Drosophila melanogaster: one gene and its partners. The protein of the gene in region 2 interacts with the protein of the main gene of each other region in a pairwise test. Each region holds a gene or a part of one and is shown on either strand. Other genes may lie near its edges. The genes, in order: CPT2, ric8a and Adk3.

Evidence for each region.
Region 1: the proteins of ric8a (region 2) and CPT2 interact in a two-hybrid assay, tested with the Drosophila melanogaster proteins (one large-scale study listed by BioGRID).
Region 3: the proteins of ric8a (region 2) and Adk3 interact in a two-hybrid assay, tested with the Drosophila melanogaster proteins (one large-scale study listed by BioGRID).

What each region holds. Positions count from the first base shown.
Region 1 is NT_037436.4:2,978,760-2,984,344, reverse strand, and holds CPT2 (carnitine palmitoyltransferase 2), read right to left. Parts: upstream 3,324-5,585; 5' UTR 3,223-3,323; coding exon 2,159-3,222; intron 2,098-2,158; coding exon 1,303-2,097; intron 1,186-1,302; coding exon 1,041-1,185; 3' UTR 794-1,040; downstream 1-793.
Region 2 is NC_004354.4:9,253,915-9,260,207, reverse strand, and holds ric8a (ric8a), read right to left. Parts: upstream 4,041-6,293; 5' UTR 3,912-4,040; coding exon 3,831-3,911; intron 3,766-3,830; coding exon 2,125-3,765; 3' UTR 1,006-2,124; downstream 1-1,005. Other genes in the region: CG17754 (uncharacterized protein), read right to left, coding at 4,488-4,580, 5,859-6,095, 6,169-6,291. UniProt on the Drosophila melanogaster protein: Chaperone that specifically binds and folds some, but not all, nascent G alpha proteins prior to G protein heterotrimer formation, promoting their stability and activity.
Region 3 is NT_033778.4:7,241,975-7,248,131, forward strand, and holds Adk3 (adenosine kinase 3), read right to left. Parts: upstream 3,803-6,157; 5' UTR 3,328-3,802; coding exon 3,248-3,327; intron 3,170-3,247; coding exon 3,014-3,169; intron 2,542-3,013; coding exon 1,677-2,541; 3' UTR 1,050-1,676; downstream 1-1,049.

The DNA of each region.
Region 1 (5,585 bases), on a different chromosome or scaffold from region 2:
GAGTCTACTTGGCTTTAATGACCTCTCCGCCGCGTAAATGTCTCCTTTTTTAATTTTTAATGCCGCCCATTAAGGCGGAATCGTGTACGTATCAGGAAGACTCGGCGAGCAAGTTAATTAATTTTTACAACGCCACGCCAGTTGGCACAAAATTTGACGATAAATCAACTGATAACGTCAGCACATTTAGCGACATCCCCATTCCCAGCCAAAAAGGCAACGTTTTGATAAACTTTTCGCCATGTTTAGGCGGAGTTCGCGATTGACGTGTGCGGCTGACACAAATCGAAAGGCAACAACTTGGCCCGAAGGGTTGGTGGCCAAGTTTTCTGGGTCAGCGTGTGGGAAATCTTTAATCAGAAACTGTTTAATGCAAGGGTTTTTCCCCCACTTATTCCGGGATAAACAAGTTGGGAACAGGGTGTGCGTGGGCACACATCTTGTTTAACTTAAGTGACAATGAAAGGTCAAAGTTTACGCATGCTTAAAAGGAGACTCAATAGTTAAACCAACTCAAAAGGGTTTGTGCCATACATCGTTCTGTGTGTTGATTTTACTTAGGAAAACAAAGGATCGAAAGATGTTTTCTTAAAAAAAAAACATTTTCTTACGCAAAATAATCTTAAATGCTTTCAACCGCTCTTATTCGATTTTACTTCAGCTCGTTTATCATAACTCTATGTTCAATTTTAATATAAACTTCTTAAACTCTTTACTTTAAAGTTGTTTTCAGCATTGTTTTAAAACGTGAGTTATTTCTCGTATTCAATTGCAAATGTCAAGCCAGCAGCATCCCAACAATATGTTAGCCAATTTATTATCCCATCAGCCGCAAAAGCCATTAAAGCAGCGGGTATAAAAGCAAAGACACAGATGCTTTAGATGGGGTAGAATGTTTTCAGTGTATAATCTATAAATTGTAGATAAAGATATTGCAATTCAGACACATGGGATACAATGTAAAAGCATCAAAATAAATCTCCCTGTTACGTTAAAGCCATATTCATTGGATTCGGGGTCGGACTCCTCACGATTTTCTCCTACTTCTTGCTACTGCTGCTCTGCTGGATGACAGCGCAAATTTTATCAAATGCCGATTCCAGACTGTCTATGAACACCTTCCCATCGGCCTGGTTTTTGTACGTGGTGACAATGGCGCCGGCAAAATCGTTCTGAATCGAATAGCTGAAAGAATAATGGGTTATCAACTGTCAGCTAGTGAACAATTTGTCGAGGCAACTTGAAAAATAGGTGCTGCATTTGTACATTCAAATACCCAATCTCGACAGGCAGTCAGCTTACCCGATTCCGAAGCCATTCTTGACCACCGGACCAAAGGAACCCGCTAGCAGGGCATCTGAACCCAGTGTTGAGGTACTAATGATGTTGTTATTAATGCGCTTGTAAGCCTCAGTCTCATAGAGATCGGGAATTGGTATTCCCTCCTTTTGGGCCGTGTGCCGAAGGGCAAAGAGATGCCGATCGAAGCCCTGGCCCATAGCCGCCTCCTTGGTTAACTGGCCATGCACCTTGCTGCAATTGTCGATCATTGCTCGTAGTTCTCCGGCGCTGGGCTTGCTCCTCTCCGGCTGGAGGATAGCTTCACAGAAGTCCCGTGTGGCATTTGTGCACGGTCGCATCGTTTCGGTACGTCCGTGTCGGAAGGCGGATGTGCTGCAGGATTCGTAGCTGCCCACATAGCCGCTGTAGGCTTGGCGATAAGCCAGCTGGAAGGACAGCTGAATGATGGAGTCCGGACTTAGGCCATACTGCTTGCATGTGGGCTTGTTGATGTGTGGGTACTTCAGCACATTCATGTCCAGATTATCTACAATGCTGGCGTTTTTATTATAAGCCTCCGAAACGGCCGACTTGGTGGCATCGTCGATTTCGAAGTTGATGGGCCGCACGTTGCTAAAATCGCCTTCGGCGGGAGTGTGCACTGTCTCCGTGGATACAAACGGCTGCTTCAAAGTATCCTTGTAGAGCTCGTTAAAGTAGCGAAGCACAGCCACTCCATCGCCCCACGAGTGCTCGAAGTTAATAGCCGTTGTTCCATCTGCACTTATAAGCAGGGAAATGGATTTGTCGAACCAACTGTAACAGAACAGGATGATTTTGTGAATCAGGCAGGCTTTACATAATGTCGACTTCTTACCGATTCTGCGCTTTTCCCGCCAGCAAATGCTTGAGCAGCGGCTCCTGCTGGTTTTCGTTAAAGACTCCATCTTCTTCGCCATCCAGACAAACGCAGAACAGAGCCGCATCCACCTCTCTCTCCAGAAGATCGGCATTTTTGGTGTTGCTAACAAAATGCTGTCTTGTCTTGGCCCACTCATCACGCTGTCCGGAGGTCAGAACACCAAGTGGCACGCTGGCTGCCTCGCGATCTGCATCAAGCTTAAGCACAGCCCTTAGTCTGCCCAGAATCACACTGGGACTCTCGATGTATCCACTGGAGTCCAGCACATTTACGGCGTACATGTGACCGCGGCGCATAACCAGAATGTGCTTGGCGTCCGGTGACTGGACCAGCTCGTCCTTGCCGATCCTAGGAATCCTAGAGGTGCCAAACAACCGGTTGTACTGGCTCATGTCCAGCGGAAAGGCCTTGAAGGCATAAGACGCGTAGGTGGCAAAGGCTTTGGGAGCCACCTTCATCCACCTGCGGTAGCTGGAAGTGTCGCTCTTCTTGGCGTTCATGTGGTACACCTCCGGCTCCAGGAGATCCGCCTGCAGAGATCGCCAGAACCGTAACGAGCTGATGATCAGGTTGGTAGCCCTAACCACCTGTTGCTGGTACTCCGGTCGCGCGTCGCTTTTCATCACCAGCAGCGGATTATAGTTGAGTGGCAGGGGCGCTCGATCGGCTAGATACATGTCGAACCAGGGCTGCGAGATGTAGCTGGTATGCTTGTTCTCTGCATCATGGCTCTTGAGTTTCGCGTGTAGTTCCATGCCGATCCCCTGGCGAAACTGTTCCACCGTTTGCTGGGTCTGCGCCTGCTCCGCCGGCGAGAGTAGTGGCTTGGTGGCCTCCAGGAAACGCCGACAGCTGTTCTCCAACAGAGGAATGGGCAATCGCGGCAAGGAGCGCTGAAAGTACAGCGTTGGCAGCTTGGAACATTGCAGGTATTGGTAGTGCTGGCCATGAGTGGTCGTTGTCCTCGACGAGTTCGTCGATATCCACGACAGATTGCGGTGCACCCGGGTCCGAAACATGGCTATCCACTCGATGGCTTTCCAAATTGAGTAACTTTTGTTGTTTAAACTCGAGAGGCGACGTTTCAAAGTCCACAACAGAAAGTCCAACAACAAGATGAAAATTCGCGAGCCAGATCAGCTGTTCGCCATTGATGATCACAGCTGATCGCCGTCATCGATAGTTACCTTACGGTATTTTTGGTATTTTTCAGTACCTGTAATGGCGCCAAAATATTTGAATATCGTATATGTTTGAAATTTACGATAAATAGATCTTTGCGGATTTTATTATTATTATGTATAACTGTACTATATTATATGGGTTAAAATTCATGTTTAATATCTTTTGTAAATTTTTTATATTTATAGCACTATAAATTGAATTTGCAATAATCAGATTCCAATCGCATGCCGGGCACGAAATTTTGAATTGTCATGATTTTATTGAATTACCATAACGACGATAATGAGAAATGAAATTACCACTCAAAATCAGCGCTGCTCTTCGCGGTCAAACATTTCGCTTTCACGGCTCGAGTTTCACATTTGGCTGACCTTATGGCTAACATTTAACATTTGAGGTCCGTGCTCGCAAAGGAAAGGGCTTGCGGATCTCCCTGAACTCCGCATAATTTCGCACTTTGCCCCGAAGGACTACGTTTCCGTATCCCTTTTCCGCATTTAATGCGCTTCGCTTTTGCACTTTCGCTGGCTTGTTAAATATTAACGCAATTTCACTTCGCCCAATTACACTGCAACCCATCCGCATCCTCATCCGCTTTCGCCGATGCCTCTTATGCAAATTTAAATGGAAAAGGGGATTCCCCTACTCACTTTACTTAATTTGAGGAATTGAGGGGCAGTGGATTTTATTCCGCAAGCGTCGACTGCAAAGTGCACAGATGAATCGATGGGAAGGAACGCTCGTGAAATTCGACAAAGTATAAAAATTTTATGCGCATTTTCATTTCTTTCTTAGCCCCGTAATTTAAGTAAACCATTTGTGTTTTTTCCGACTTACCTGGGAACAGTGACCGGTTGGAATACCCGCAGGAGCCTTTGACCCACCACGTCTGCAAGATGTCCTGACCCCTCCGAAGATCTGTTTCTTCCCCGGGAAACCCTCGTCGTCCAAGCTCCAAGCTCCTCGACCAGCAGACATCAACAGCGGGCAAACAAATAAACGCCACGCAAATGCAAACAAAACGCTGTTTATCCACGGACCAAAATCGCCAGGATGCCATTGCCAAAAAGGTGAAAGGACGCTTAAGCACTTGAGCGCCTCCGAATCGAACAAATCGATGGGTAATTGCTTTGCCATTGCCCCGCGCATTTTAAAGACCAACTGCGACTTTAAATAACTGGTGGGATAAAGGACTTCAATTGGAAAGAAAAATAAATAAATAAAATTAAATGAAATATGTTGCATACTAGCACAGATTGAATTAATGTTTTTGATATAAAATGTAAACACAAAGTTAGATTTAAAGGCGCTCTTTTGTGACATATTTTTTCCACTTTTTTCGCCGTTAATAACAAAATCTATTCAAGGACCCTTGAATGTGTTTAAAAAGCATACAATCTCGACACTCATTAACAACCAACGGTAGTATAAAATTTCAACTGTCGCCGCCAGATGCGAAAACACATAAAAAACCTCTAAAAAATCCTTTTCTTTTCTGTGCGCAGAAATCAACATTTGTTTCCAGAGTCCTTTGCCGGACAATAAAACTGTTGACCATTCTAGCACGCACAGCGTGACTGGGGATCCAGATTCGAATCCTTCCTTCCTTCCTGTCTTTCTGCACCTGAAAGGTGTGGCGAATAAGTCGCTTTCGACGGGTTGACAACTGCGTAAAAATCAGGCAAAAGCACGAGGTGACCAGATGGAAGAGTTAACTGGCAAATTCCATTTGCCCCATGATGACAATGGCAAATGGGCTTGGGTTTGGGTTTGGTCGACCTTCGGACAAACGGAGATTTGCATAGATGGCTCAGCAAAAATGCCGCATTCCAGTCGAGCAAATCATTGACATGGCCATGAAGAACGGAGATAGCTCTCAAATGGCCGCGTTGACAGCCCCAAAGAAATGGAGGCAATAACTCAGGCCTCACTGTAGGAGGTTGCACTGTAGAATGGGAATGCGATGGTCGAGGTGTTGGAGTTTATGCTACCTTTAAAATATTTAAATAGGCATAAGGATAGCCTAACCATTATTTAGTGCAATTTATATAACATGTGTTCTTTTATTTTTATTGCAATACATTCCAATAAGCACATACTAAAAGTTAATTGTGCTTACTAATTAGGATTTATTTATTATTCTGCCACACACTAGCAATGCCTTATTTTAATTTCAATTTATTGAATACTTTTCAGA
Region 2 (6,293 bases):
CTGCTGCTGCTACTGCTCCTGCTGCACAGCGAAAATCTGTGCACATATGCCAACACAAAAATGCGGCGATCCAACGGGAATTGGCTGCCGTGGCGGCCGCGGCAGCCGCGGCTCGCCAGAAGAAAAGCAAAGTGCAATCGCAGGCACAGTCTCAACGTAAATTCCATACCGAAGCGAAGGCCCATGTTCAAACTGCGATTCAGACCCAGAAGGACAACATCAAAGATAGCCCTTCAAGGATGATACAATGGGACTCTTGTATGATTCCAAAGAATCGCTACTCAAACAAGACGTGCCAAGAGAAGAAACCCAAAGAGAGACACCATAGCATGTTCTACTTCACAAGGGATAGGTTTCCCTCAGAAGCGGAGCATCGCCAGCAGATGGAGATTTTGCAGAGGGAGGAAAGGCGGCAGATTAACCGGGAGCTCAAGCTAAAGGAGAACCAGTGCCGCCGCATTGAGGCGGAGAGCGAACCCTTGAAGATAGAAGAAAAGGTGTGTGGGCATACTGAAAAGAAGGCGGATGAATCGTTGTCGAAGGATCAGCAGAATGACTCGATAAAGCTGATCGGATCGGAGCCGGTGCATTCCCCGGGGCGGGACAACGACAGCAAGTATGCCGACTACTTTCTCAAATACACCCCCCCGAAGCAGAAGGAAAAAGATCTGGAGCGAGCGAATGAACTCCAGCGGCACGACCGCATATACGAGCTGTTTTGGTTGGATGAGCGCAGGGAGGAGGAAAAGTATCGCCGAAAATTGGAACAGAATGACCAAGAAGAAATCCCAAATGACTGCCACAAGGCGTGCCGCCATCGCCACCACAAACCCAGCTACATTGCTCGCTTCGATCACATGAGGCCCATGGAGGGCGACATTCAAGAGGCGGACTCCTCGCCGGAGAGGAGTCGATCCTTATAACTCTGATTCAATATTAATAATTAAAATTTAGTTTCAAAGCATTATGAATCGGAAAATATGTGGCTTGATTATTATAGCATGACCTTGATTGATTTATTTTATTGTTAAGCTTAGGATAGCCGTACATTTAGACTCGCACAAAAAATATTACTATGTTTTGATGTATATAAGTTGATCTACTAGTATCATCGCTATAGCAAATTGAACACAATAAAGCTCTAGATAGGATTTCTTGTATATAGATCAAAGACACGTAACTTTTAGAAAGTTTTGGAATTATTCCTTTACCCTATTATGCGGAATTTACAACATAGATTAGACATGGACATGAACAATGTGCGGATGGGATAGTTGGTTGCATGGCCGTGTCGACATCCACAACTTGATGGCTCTTCAAGTGCTCCTCACTGCCGTCTGTCATAGATAGACTTTGTAGTTCGTTTAGTTCGATTCTAGAGCTATAGTTAGTGTTACACACATGCAACATCATTTGTAATAGAAAACTGAGAATCGGAATAAGAGCTTTCATTCCTAGATCCTAAGTGTATAATTGGAATTTTATAAATATAATACATACATGCACTTAACTATTAAAATGAAAAGTCGTCCTAGTTGTCCTATAGTGTGGGCGTGTATTTAAATGAATTCAGATTTGATGTTCATCTGCTCCCTACTTCCTGAAATTGGAAGACCCCAACGATTGTTTTGCATTTAGTTATTTTTTTCAAGCCGTACGTTATGGGATGCCATGGTATCAACTTTAAAAGTGCGAACAATTCACGGGACAACAAAATAACAACGAAGTGCGTAATAACTTAATAAGTACAACGTTCTACATGGTTAATGGTTAAAGAAATTCTGTAAAAGTTGGGAGACCGAACTTATCTACGAATTGAAGCTAATTGGATAGATTATAATTATTTTAGCTAACACTAATAATAATGGCATTTAGACAAAAGCTGATCACTGAAATCAAAGCCAGATTGGATAATTTTTGGTTAACAAATTGTAGGTTATAATGAGATGTTCTCGAATATGTGGTATAAAATATATAAACTATGTAAAAAAAAAAATCTGCTTTTTGAACACATTCGAAGCTACATTCGACAGTAAACTTATGGAATAAATGCAGAGTTTAAGGTGATTTTTTGGTAGCTATTTGGAAGTTGTGCCATAGCAGATCCCGCAATACATTTGTGGCTTAGGTTTTCCGCTTCTGGTCGAGCTGCTGCTGCGGCAGCTCCTCCTGCAGCTGAAGGATGTGTTCCAGCGGCTGCGGGCGCCCGTCCTTGTCTATCATCGCCGGCTTTACGATCCCGCCCTGACGCAGCTGTTCGATGAGATTGACCAGCTGCATAGCCTCGTATTCCTTCTGCTCTTCGCTTATGTCGTCCAGATGCGACTTGCTGCGCGGCTCTACGCAGCCAAGGACTGGATTGATGCCCTGCTGCTGCTGCTTGTACTCCTCGGTGTCGCTGTCCTCGCTGTCGGAGGAGTAGTCGGTGCCCTCCACTCGCCGGCAGTCGAGTATACCCCGCTTGGCAAAGAGCCCGGCTGCGTTGCCATAGCCCGTATATTTGATCATCCTGCCGACATTTTCTTTGCACAGTACGAACAGCAGTTCGGCGGACAGATCTCGTAGGATCATCGCGGGCAGTGTAAGGAACCGACACAGATGATTGCGCAGCTCCTGACCAACCTCAGGTCGTTGACTAACGTCCCGCAGCGGCGGCAGAATCTCCTGGCGTAGATAGTGACGCATAACTCGATCGCTGCGCGCACATTTCACCAGCACGGTCAGCACTGGGGAAAGCAACTCATGCGAGCTAGCCTCGGCCTCCTGTTGGGCCAGAGATTGCCTTAGGTAGCGGAGTAGCACGTCCAGACTCCGAACATTGCGCTTTTCGAAGCACTGCGAGCAGCACTCACGGGGTTTGGCTCCCGCTCCAGCTTCTGTATCTTTTTCCTTCTCGTTGTCCTGCTCTCTTTCCTTGTGCGACTCCAACTCGGCATTGGAGCAACGCAGGGTGAGTTCTGTCAGGCAGCTGCCGGAGATGTTTGTCAGCAGATTGATGGCGTGTGTGACGACGGCGCGATCCTTTTCTGTGGCCAAGTCGCCGAAACGCAGGAGTAGCTCCCTCAGCACTCCCGTCAAATGCAAGCTCTGGATTTCGTATTCGTTGGGGCTCTTGTCCGGAGCACTGGTCACGTTGAACATCACCTTGAGCAGTTCGCAGATGATGTTCAGCTGCTCCTCGCCAACTGAGTCTTCGCCCAGCTTGTCGTCCAGCCACTTAGTCATGTAGGTGAGGCCATTCAGATCGATTTGGAGGCGAGAGCGCGCCGCTGGCTCTAATGCAGTGAGCAAGAAGAGGAGCTTCATGTCGTAGTACTCCAACGCACAGGGATGTCGCATCGAGGACGCCACCCTCTTCAGGATTGCATCCAGGCAGTGTTGCCGCAGGCACTGGCGCCTGCAGTCGGAGCTCTGGTAGACCAAGTTGCACAGACACTTAAGTGCTTCGGCAATCACCTCCGATTGGGCCTGGCTGGGCTCCAGCTGGGGCTCCTCGCGTTCCTCCTGTTTAAGCTCGTCCGGCGTGGCTGGCAGCTTTAGTGAGCCGGCCTCAATCCTAGCCAGCTTCAGCAGGGTGTTAACCTCCTGTTCGATGTAGTTCGTCTGCAGGCTGAACTCGTCACGCGTTAGAATCCTCACCGTGTTCAGGCACTGCGTATGCAGATGACTAAGCCGCTGGTCGTCCAATATGCCGAAGATGGCCAGCCACAGTTCGTGCCACAGGTTGTCTGTGCGGAAACTGTCGAAGACCAGCAGATCCGCATTCTACGGCAGAAGGAAGGGTATATAATCTGGTTGAATCTTCGGGAGAAACCGCTGGCAGTGCTCACCTTTGTGTTGAATTCGTCCAGGATGGCGGGAATGTGGTCCGCCTCCTTGGCCTCTAGTCGTTTCAGGTGCTCCGTTTCCATGTCGCCAACGGTGGCCGTTCAAAGCTGTCGTTGAGTTCGCTTTTTAGGTCGTTTAAGTTAATTTAATTAATTTTTATAATTTCCGCCAGTGTGACCGCACCTTTGCCGTTCTAATCTAATATACTACGGGGCGTTGCCAGATATCTCAACCATCGAATGCCAACTATCGGTACGCCCTTACCACTAATATTCTAAAAAAAATCGTATTCCAATCAGAAAGTTAGATAATTTAAATATATTATTTCAAATATTTAAATACAATCAAGAAACTTGAAGTTACCCATTTAAAAGAGCAATCCCCGCTTAACCGACAAAATAGTATTATTTTATATGTTCGGTTTTTCAAATGCAGCGAATAACCGTTTAATTTTCGATTTTATTACAAAAAATACATATCCAGTGTATACATTTCGCAGTGTATGTTTTGTGTAAAAATATATATATGTGTAAATATAAAATAATACGTAATATTTGGATTGTTTTTTTTTTTTTTTGACAAGTTTTCTTGTGTTTTTTCTTTTAGCTTGGCTTAAATGTTTATAGTTTGCTTTGTTTGTTGTCTTGTCTGTCTAGCATTTACATGTTATAGTAGTCGACAAACTCGACACATCTGGGACGCCTATTATAGCAGATTGGATCCAATCTCACTGGCTTCCACTTCTTCTTTTTCTTTAATTTTTAAATGCAATCGAAGGGAAAGGGAAAAGAAAGAAATAAAAACATAATAAACAATTAGAAATAAATGCTCGCTGTACGCACACACACATCTAGTATTTACTAAGAATAATATCGGTACAAAATGACGATGCAAAAGTCGAAATATAATCATTCCATGGGACAAGTATTTACTAACTAAAACTAAGCAATTGCAGTTGTCTTTTTGATTGTTTTCGTTCGTTTTTTTTTTTTTTGATTTTGTTTGTTTTGTTTTTCTAATGGTTTCGCACACTTCACATGCAAAAATGAGCAATTTTGGTTTTTGGAATTTTGGCTTGGCGCAGTCTTGTCAGGATATAAGTATGTGTATACGATTTATGCATATGGAATGTGGGCCCGTCACCGGTGCGAGCGAGATGGCGTGCAGTGTGTGAAGCGTACGACACCATGGGGTGTGAGTGGGATGGAAAATTTTTAGAAACTAGGGTATCGTGTAAAATACGTTGGTTAATTACAGCTAGGGATCGATTTTAGATTGGAACTGGAAGCCTCGCAACATGCACTTCTTAAATCCTATGAGATTTCACTGATTTTTTTATTTTTTTTTTGATTTACTTATTTTTAGATTCAAGCCGAAAAGAGCAGAGTTATGGGGAAAATACTGGGTTGGGGTGTGCGGTGCGGAAAGTGGGTGAGTTCTGGGTGTATGCCATACCACAGGGAATCATGTCAGAACACAGACGAGAGCGAGGCGAGGCGAAGGTGAGCTGCAGTTTCAAACTTGCCGGGTTAGGAAACACGAGCAACAACCACGAGCAGCTCACAGCAACAGTAACAACAACTACTATAGAACGGGTGCAGTGCTCTCTCGCTAAGTGCATCGCTTTCAGACCACGCTACTTATAAAACTACTTTTGATTATTGCCTCCTAAAGTTCCTTAATATCTACAAGTAAATGGAAATGCTTTACATGAACTGGTAAATTTGGGAAAATATCTTTTGTAAACGTGGAATGTTTGGATTTTTAAGATTAATGCAAGAAAGGTATAAAATCTACAGTTTGTGTGCAGCATTAACTGCCGAGCGAAACATCTTGACAAATTTACTAACATTAAATGCAATTTATAAAGCTCTACCCAAATAATGGGTATCTAATAGGAATTTCGCGTATAAATTTGGCTGGGTGCTAAATGCAAATCGTTTCCAAACATCTGGCCCTTCTATCCGAAATAAGCGATGCAATTAACGAGCCTACACTGCAACCGAAAGTGGATTGGGTTTGGACTAAACTGTAGCACTGGGCGGCGGCTGTTGAGCCGCCGGCGGTATGACATTCGGAATCGCCACCACACAGGCGCCGGCCCTTGCGAAAGCCATGGGCGCCAGCTCGTTCCATCCATTGCGCACCGGGTCGTACTCCTCGACGCTCTTCAGCGCATGATTGCCATCGTAGCCGCCGACGACGATCAGGCGATCGCCCAGCAGGGCACAGCCGATCGCGTCCCGGCCCAAAGCCAGTGAGCAGATCTGTGGAATGAGATGACATCGATTAGAAGTGAGGATGAGGTTGAGGGAACCACATAACCCAATCCCAGCTTACCAGAGTCCAGGTATCGGTGGCTGGGTCGTAGCGCTCCACCGTCTCCGTGCGGCAGACCATTGGATTGCTGGCCGGACAGTCGTGGCCACCCAAGGCGTACAGGAAACCATTGGCCACCGTCACCT
Region 3 (6,157 bases), on a different chromosome or scaffold from region 2:
GGGCAAATGAGGACATTTAATTATCACATGCTGGCGAGGATCTCAGTCAAGCCTTGGGATAGTCTGAAATCGGCCATTACCCACACGCAGACATCGAAGGGAGGGGGGTTGCCCGAGTGGCTGCTAACCCCGTAAACCACACGATGACATTAATTACGGACCCGACAAAGGACTGGCGTTGGCCAACCCAATGGCCACAGCATAGAAGGCAATCGAAGTGGCGTGGAAGGAAGGGTTCTCTATAAAATTAATATCGAGTAATTAACAGGGCGAGTGCTGAGACTTAAGTAGGTGGGACACCAAAACCCCGATACACTCGATTAGGTGGGTGGGTGTGTCAATATTGACTTTGCCACTGCCACTTGGCTCTCTTAAGCGGCTCCTTGCCAATTAGCCAGCTCACTACGCTGATCCGGGAATTGGCCTTTAAAGTGCGGAATTGCTTTCGGCCTAAGCCCGGACTTCTTTATGGTTTCGAGAGCTTCCCGTCCACAACTCCTCCTCCGGCAGCAGCTGGGAGAGGCCCAGGCCTTGGCCTGCTTACACAAGCATGCCAAATGCGGCTTAGTTTTTGTTAACGATTCGCAAACATGTGGCCCAAACCCCAAGCCAAACCCCACGGCCAGCACAAAGGCGGAATTCGCTTTGATGGCATCTGTGCATGCGAGTTCTCTTTGGGCCAAGTCGTCACTTATTGACTGACTTGTGTGGGATGTACGCGGTCCATATAAGATGGATGAAACGAGAATCGCTTCTTTGCGGATAATAAAGCATCTCGAGGAATGCGCATAAAGATGTGTACTAGGGCATCTCAGGGGGAATTAAGTGTGTGATAACGGATTCGGATGACGATTCACACAATGCCACAGTCCAGTGGGAACTTCGGCGATCGAGTGAATAACACAGTCGTATTAATAAGGCTATCGAGGTCGAACAATCACCAGCTGTACTTACTTTTTTATATATATGCTCTCATTTCTTAATGAATAATTAATACGTGATTTTACATATAAAGGTATACCTAAATAACGACGGCCTGTGTCAAAAATGATTTACTTATGTTTGCTCAAATAATGAAGTATGAATAATGGTATATCTAAGAAAGTATTACAGCGAAATTAATAATTTGTAAGCATTCAACCCACTGTGCGCAAAACAATGCTCTCGAATCTATATTTAACCATTAAAAAGAGTCTTCCGGTGATTTCATGGCATGGCTTGATTAGACGTGGGCACATTTTACCCTATTTCACTTTTTATCTTTGCGCTCTTCTGAAGGTCAACGCAAATTCTTAATGGCAATGTGCTACAAATAGATACATATGTACTGGTTTTAGATAAATCTGTTTTGTCTTTTGAGAAAGCAACATCTGTTTACATAGAACTATCAAAAGATATTTAAATGTTAAAAAATTGCATACAATAGGAATCTCGCTATATATATTATAAAATGTAGTCACATATAGTCACTCAGAAATATTATTATCTTTCATAGGACGATGTATAAATCATTTTTATTTAGTCACATTATGACTAAGTTCATTGCTTGGGTGAAATGGTGGACAAATGTTTGACTAAGCCTAAGGTTTGGGGAGATTACCGGAATAATTACAAGCTAAGAGTCTACTTTGGTGCTTTGTTGTGCGCTATCTGAGGTGGCGATGCACGGCGTCGGTCTAGGGCAGATTGCAGCCCACCTGGGTGACGACCTTGGCGGCTACGCTGGAGGCCATTCGGATGCACTCGCCCAGCGAGCGCTTCTCCAGCCAGGCGTGCAAGAATCCGGCCACAAAAGCATCTCCGGCCCCAGTGGCATCCACCAGCTGCTCTACGCGCTGCGCCCTGAAGTCCTCAAAGCTTACGGGTCCGGGAGGAGCCAGCTCCTCCACGTAGTTGGTGATCACCTGGACGCCGGCACTGCCGTTGGTGACGAAGATGACCTTGGTGCCACCGGATTGCAGGAGATGATCCGCCAGTTCGTCGACGTTTCGGAACCCACCCGCAGCCTCGGCCAGCGCCTCGAACTCCTGTCGGTTTCCGAACAGGAAGAAGGCGGCCCGGGCCAGCTTCATCATAGCCTGGTGATTTTTCCTCACAATGTAGGGTGCACTGAGATTGAGAGCCAGGCGTCGCCGCTCCCGCACCAGGTGCTGCACTATGTAATCGCACACATCACTCCTCTGGGGCACAAAGAAGCCCTCCACGTACAGGATTTGCTTGCGCTCCACCGGTCGCAGGAAGCTCTGGCCTTCGTGGCTGACGGCGTGGCTCAGGGTCTGCACCTCGAACTGAGCCGAGGCGCCGATGTTGGCGTACAGCGTGGGGTTGTCCTGATACATGAGGCACACGCACTGCCCTGTGTGCGCATCCTCGACGGTCTGCAGCCTGGCCTCGATGCCGCGATCCCGAATGATCTGGCGCAGCTCCTCGGCGTGCTTGTCGGCTCCCACGGCGCCAAAGAAGAGCGCGTCTGTGCCCAGCTGCTTCAGGATGCGGGCAGTGTTGAGGGCAGAGCCACCCGGGTTTGTAAGGCACCGAGAGCTGAATTGGATTGAACTCGGATTAGTAAGTATAGCTTTGCAAAGGTTGTTTATTATGTATGTATGTAGTTACTAACTAAACCCTTGTAATTTTAGAATAACCGTGTAACTTTGCCATTTTCCATTTCCTACTTCGTAAGACGATTTCGTACAGGTATAAAAACCAGTTTTGCTGTCATTAGAGATTAGAAAGAAGGCCCTTCTTAACTTCTTAAGTAAAGATTGATTGTTGTGTACAAAAGTGCTATGTATAAACAGCCTTTGTAGCCCCAGTCCTATTTGTTGTTCATTCTTTGTATCTTTTCACAATTTCTTTGAAAGGTGATACTAATTATACTTGCAAGACCTTAACTATACTACTTATATGTAAAATCAGTCTAACTAAAAACCATAACTTGGGTCCAATTGTACAATTTCTTACAATCAGTCATTGAAGATAATGAAACAATCGGGCAAGATACAAAGGTACTCACCTCTCAGAAGCCTCCGCTGCCAGCTGGTTGAGTTTCTCCATGTCCAGTTCACCCTTGGAGCCCAGTTCCAGGCCGAACCGCTCCAGGAGTTGGGGATCCTCGAGCTGGACTAGTCGGTCGAGCAGGACGTTGCCGAAGCAGATGACCTTGCGGGGCCTGAAAGTGGGAAAGCCCAATGGTCAGAGGTGTTTTCTGCCGGGTTTTTCCGCCTCAGCTGCTACTGCTGATACTCACGTGTGGAAAGCCCCTTGCGTGTCATCCGTGGGAGGATTGCCCCCGAAGATTTTTTCGTACACGTAGCTCAGGTACTCCATTGTATGCAAAAACTAACGCTTGCTCGGGACTTTCGCGTTCTATTCGCAAGTGCTCCGGATGAAATGAAATCCAACAGTGATCCGCCGCTTTTGTCGTCCGGCACAGAACTGAACGCTCGGGCCGGTTTGTCCCGGTGTTTTTATCTCGCTCTCGCCAGCGTGCTCGATTTGTTTTTTCCCATTTCGGGCAATTTGTTTGGGCCAACTTCTTTTTACCTTTGTATCGAGCGGCCTACAAAGAGCAGCTTGACTTTTTCGACTTTTTTGACTTTGTCGAGTTTTTCAACAACACAGAGCTTTTGGCACTGCGCTGGCGCTCAGATTGTGGCTATCGTACTTGGCGGCGGCACTATGGTGACTCAAAGTCGCGCTCCACAAATGCCATCGAGTTATCCCTAATGACTATTTTATAATTTATGCGACTTAATTGTTTAGCGTATTACATAAATATTGCGTGTAATATTCAGACGTTTGCCAACACTTCAGTGCGGAAGAAACAGCTGTGAGCGTGTTTTGTTTACAGGGAAGAAGAAGCATAATTGAGTGCAAGAAAAGCTCTGCCGGCGAAAAAAGCACTAATCGGGTAAAAGCTTAGGAATCGAAAGAGCCAGAGAGAACTTGACAGAGCTGTCATCCGGCGCGAACAAATCGAACCGGTTATGTCAGATAGAAATTTTAAAAATTTTCTTTGTAAATAAATAAAAATCGAAGTATCTGTAAACATATACATTGAAATTACCTGAGCTCTAGTAACAACTCTTTAAAAAGTAGAGAACCTTACAATTGGAATATATAACGAAATACACACATTTTGCGGAAATGTTATGGCTTTCTTTCAGTTTCAGCTTTGTTTGCCCTCCTTTTTTTTTAATTTCACCAGGTTCTCAAAACAAGTTTACCATCGTGCAAAGAATTCAGCCCTGCAAGTGATGTACATCTGCCCACCAGCGAGCAGCTGAATCATTTCGCCATTATTCGAAAGGCGCTGCCAAATGTTTCGCAATATTATTTAATGCGAGACAAGACCTAATTATTTGGAAAGAACGTTGCTCGCTCAGATAACCGAAACTCCCTTGCCAAAAGCCCCACGATAAATAAGAGAATACATTATGGTATCTGGTTTGGAGTGGGAAAAACCACGCATCGAAAAAATAAACTGCACTGCATTGGGGGTTTTTCGCAGAGAACTCTTTTGGAAACTGGGTTTTCCCTGCAGCCAATCGCAGCCAAATGGGAAATCCCCCAGCATAGCCGCACTGCATACAAAATTGCACCTTGGAGACCTCCACGCCGGCGCGAGATATCTCGTTTTCCAGCGTGATGCTGGTGCACGTGAGGATTCGGGCGGCATTCATCGGCCATTCATGGTGGCTTGGTGACCGGTTGCAGGTACTCAGACTTGCGGACTTTGGACCGGCCTAAAATGGAATGCCGATAGCCGAATGCCGAATGTGGGGGAACTCTTCAAAAACCAGTTCCCACTCTCTTTTGACTCTTTGACTCATTTGGCTCTTCGCTTGGCATTTGGGTTTCGGTTTGGGTTTGGGCCCAGTTTAGTGCTGCGCCGGCGTGACTCAGCAGTGGGGCAACCGCCGGCGAAGTGCCTCCGATCCATGCCCGATCACTCCGTGGGCTCCACGATTCTCCCTCGAAATAAGCCAGCAATGAAATCCATCCAATGTGGTGGCTTCACATGTGATGGGCGCATGTTGCACACACAACTGGGTGGCATGGCACACAAAAGCAACGGGCAGAGGTGCCATTGAAGTCCCACGCAAAAGGCTAAAAATATCTGAATTCCTTGGGTTCGATTGTGACGTGCGGATCAAGCTGGATGAAGAACCAAAACTTCTAATCCGCACGTTCGCCGCAGCAATAGAAAATGCTGTAGTGGTGCCCTTTATGCACTTGTGACAACTCGAATTCCGCGCTGGAATGACAAGGCAATAGTTTTATTTTCTGTCACTGCAAATGCGTATTTAAGTAATAGATATGCATATTTGTTATAAAACAAGCTAAAATGGTACTCACTAGTATGATTATCTTGAAAAATATCACATGGGGTTAGAAACGGTAAAATAAGCAATTTTTAAGTACTACGATTAGTATAATTTGCGTATATGCGTATAATTTTTATGAATGGGTCAATTATTAAGCATAACAAATATAAAATATGCTTTTTATAATGATATTTTCATAATTACAAGTATTGGGCGAACAGATGACCAATGATGTCTGTCCGGTTTTAGCTAGAAAACCCCCAAAATGCCACTGCATTTCCGCGGTTCATTGGCCACTTTCGAGGCGAATTTGGCGCGCAAATTCGTAGCTGAGTCGGCGATTTCCAACTTTCAGCACTTCCGCGGCTGATCCACTTACTACAGGTATGCCCCTCATAAGCACGACAGTTGTTTATGTTTTCGGGTCTAAATACATGCATAGGTCAGTAATTCGAATCACCCTACTCTTAATCATAGTAGTATGTTATTGAAAGACCAGAAGCTTCTTCAAATTGCATGCACATATATATGTACATATTTACATACATATGTTATTGTTATGATCATGGGCTGACTATCAGCTTGGTTGGGTTGAGTTAAACATATCACCTGCCCAGATGCACAGATGAAAACAAGTGATCTTAACCTAAATATAACCCTTCTTATTTTGCCTTCTTTAGGGTTGTATACTTTTCATAGCTTTTTACTTTTTTTGTCGTAAATCTTGCTGAATTACATGCTGCAGCTGCCCAGGAATTGTTTTCAATTCTACGCTGCACGCTCAGCAGTTTGTTCAACTCCAAAAAACCAAAACACATGTATGTATGTAT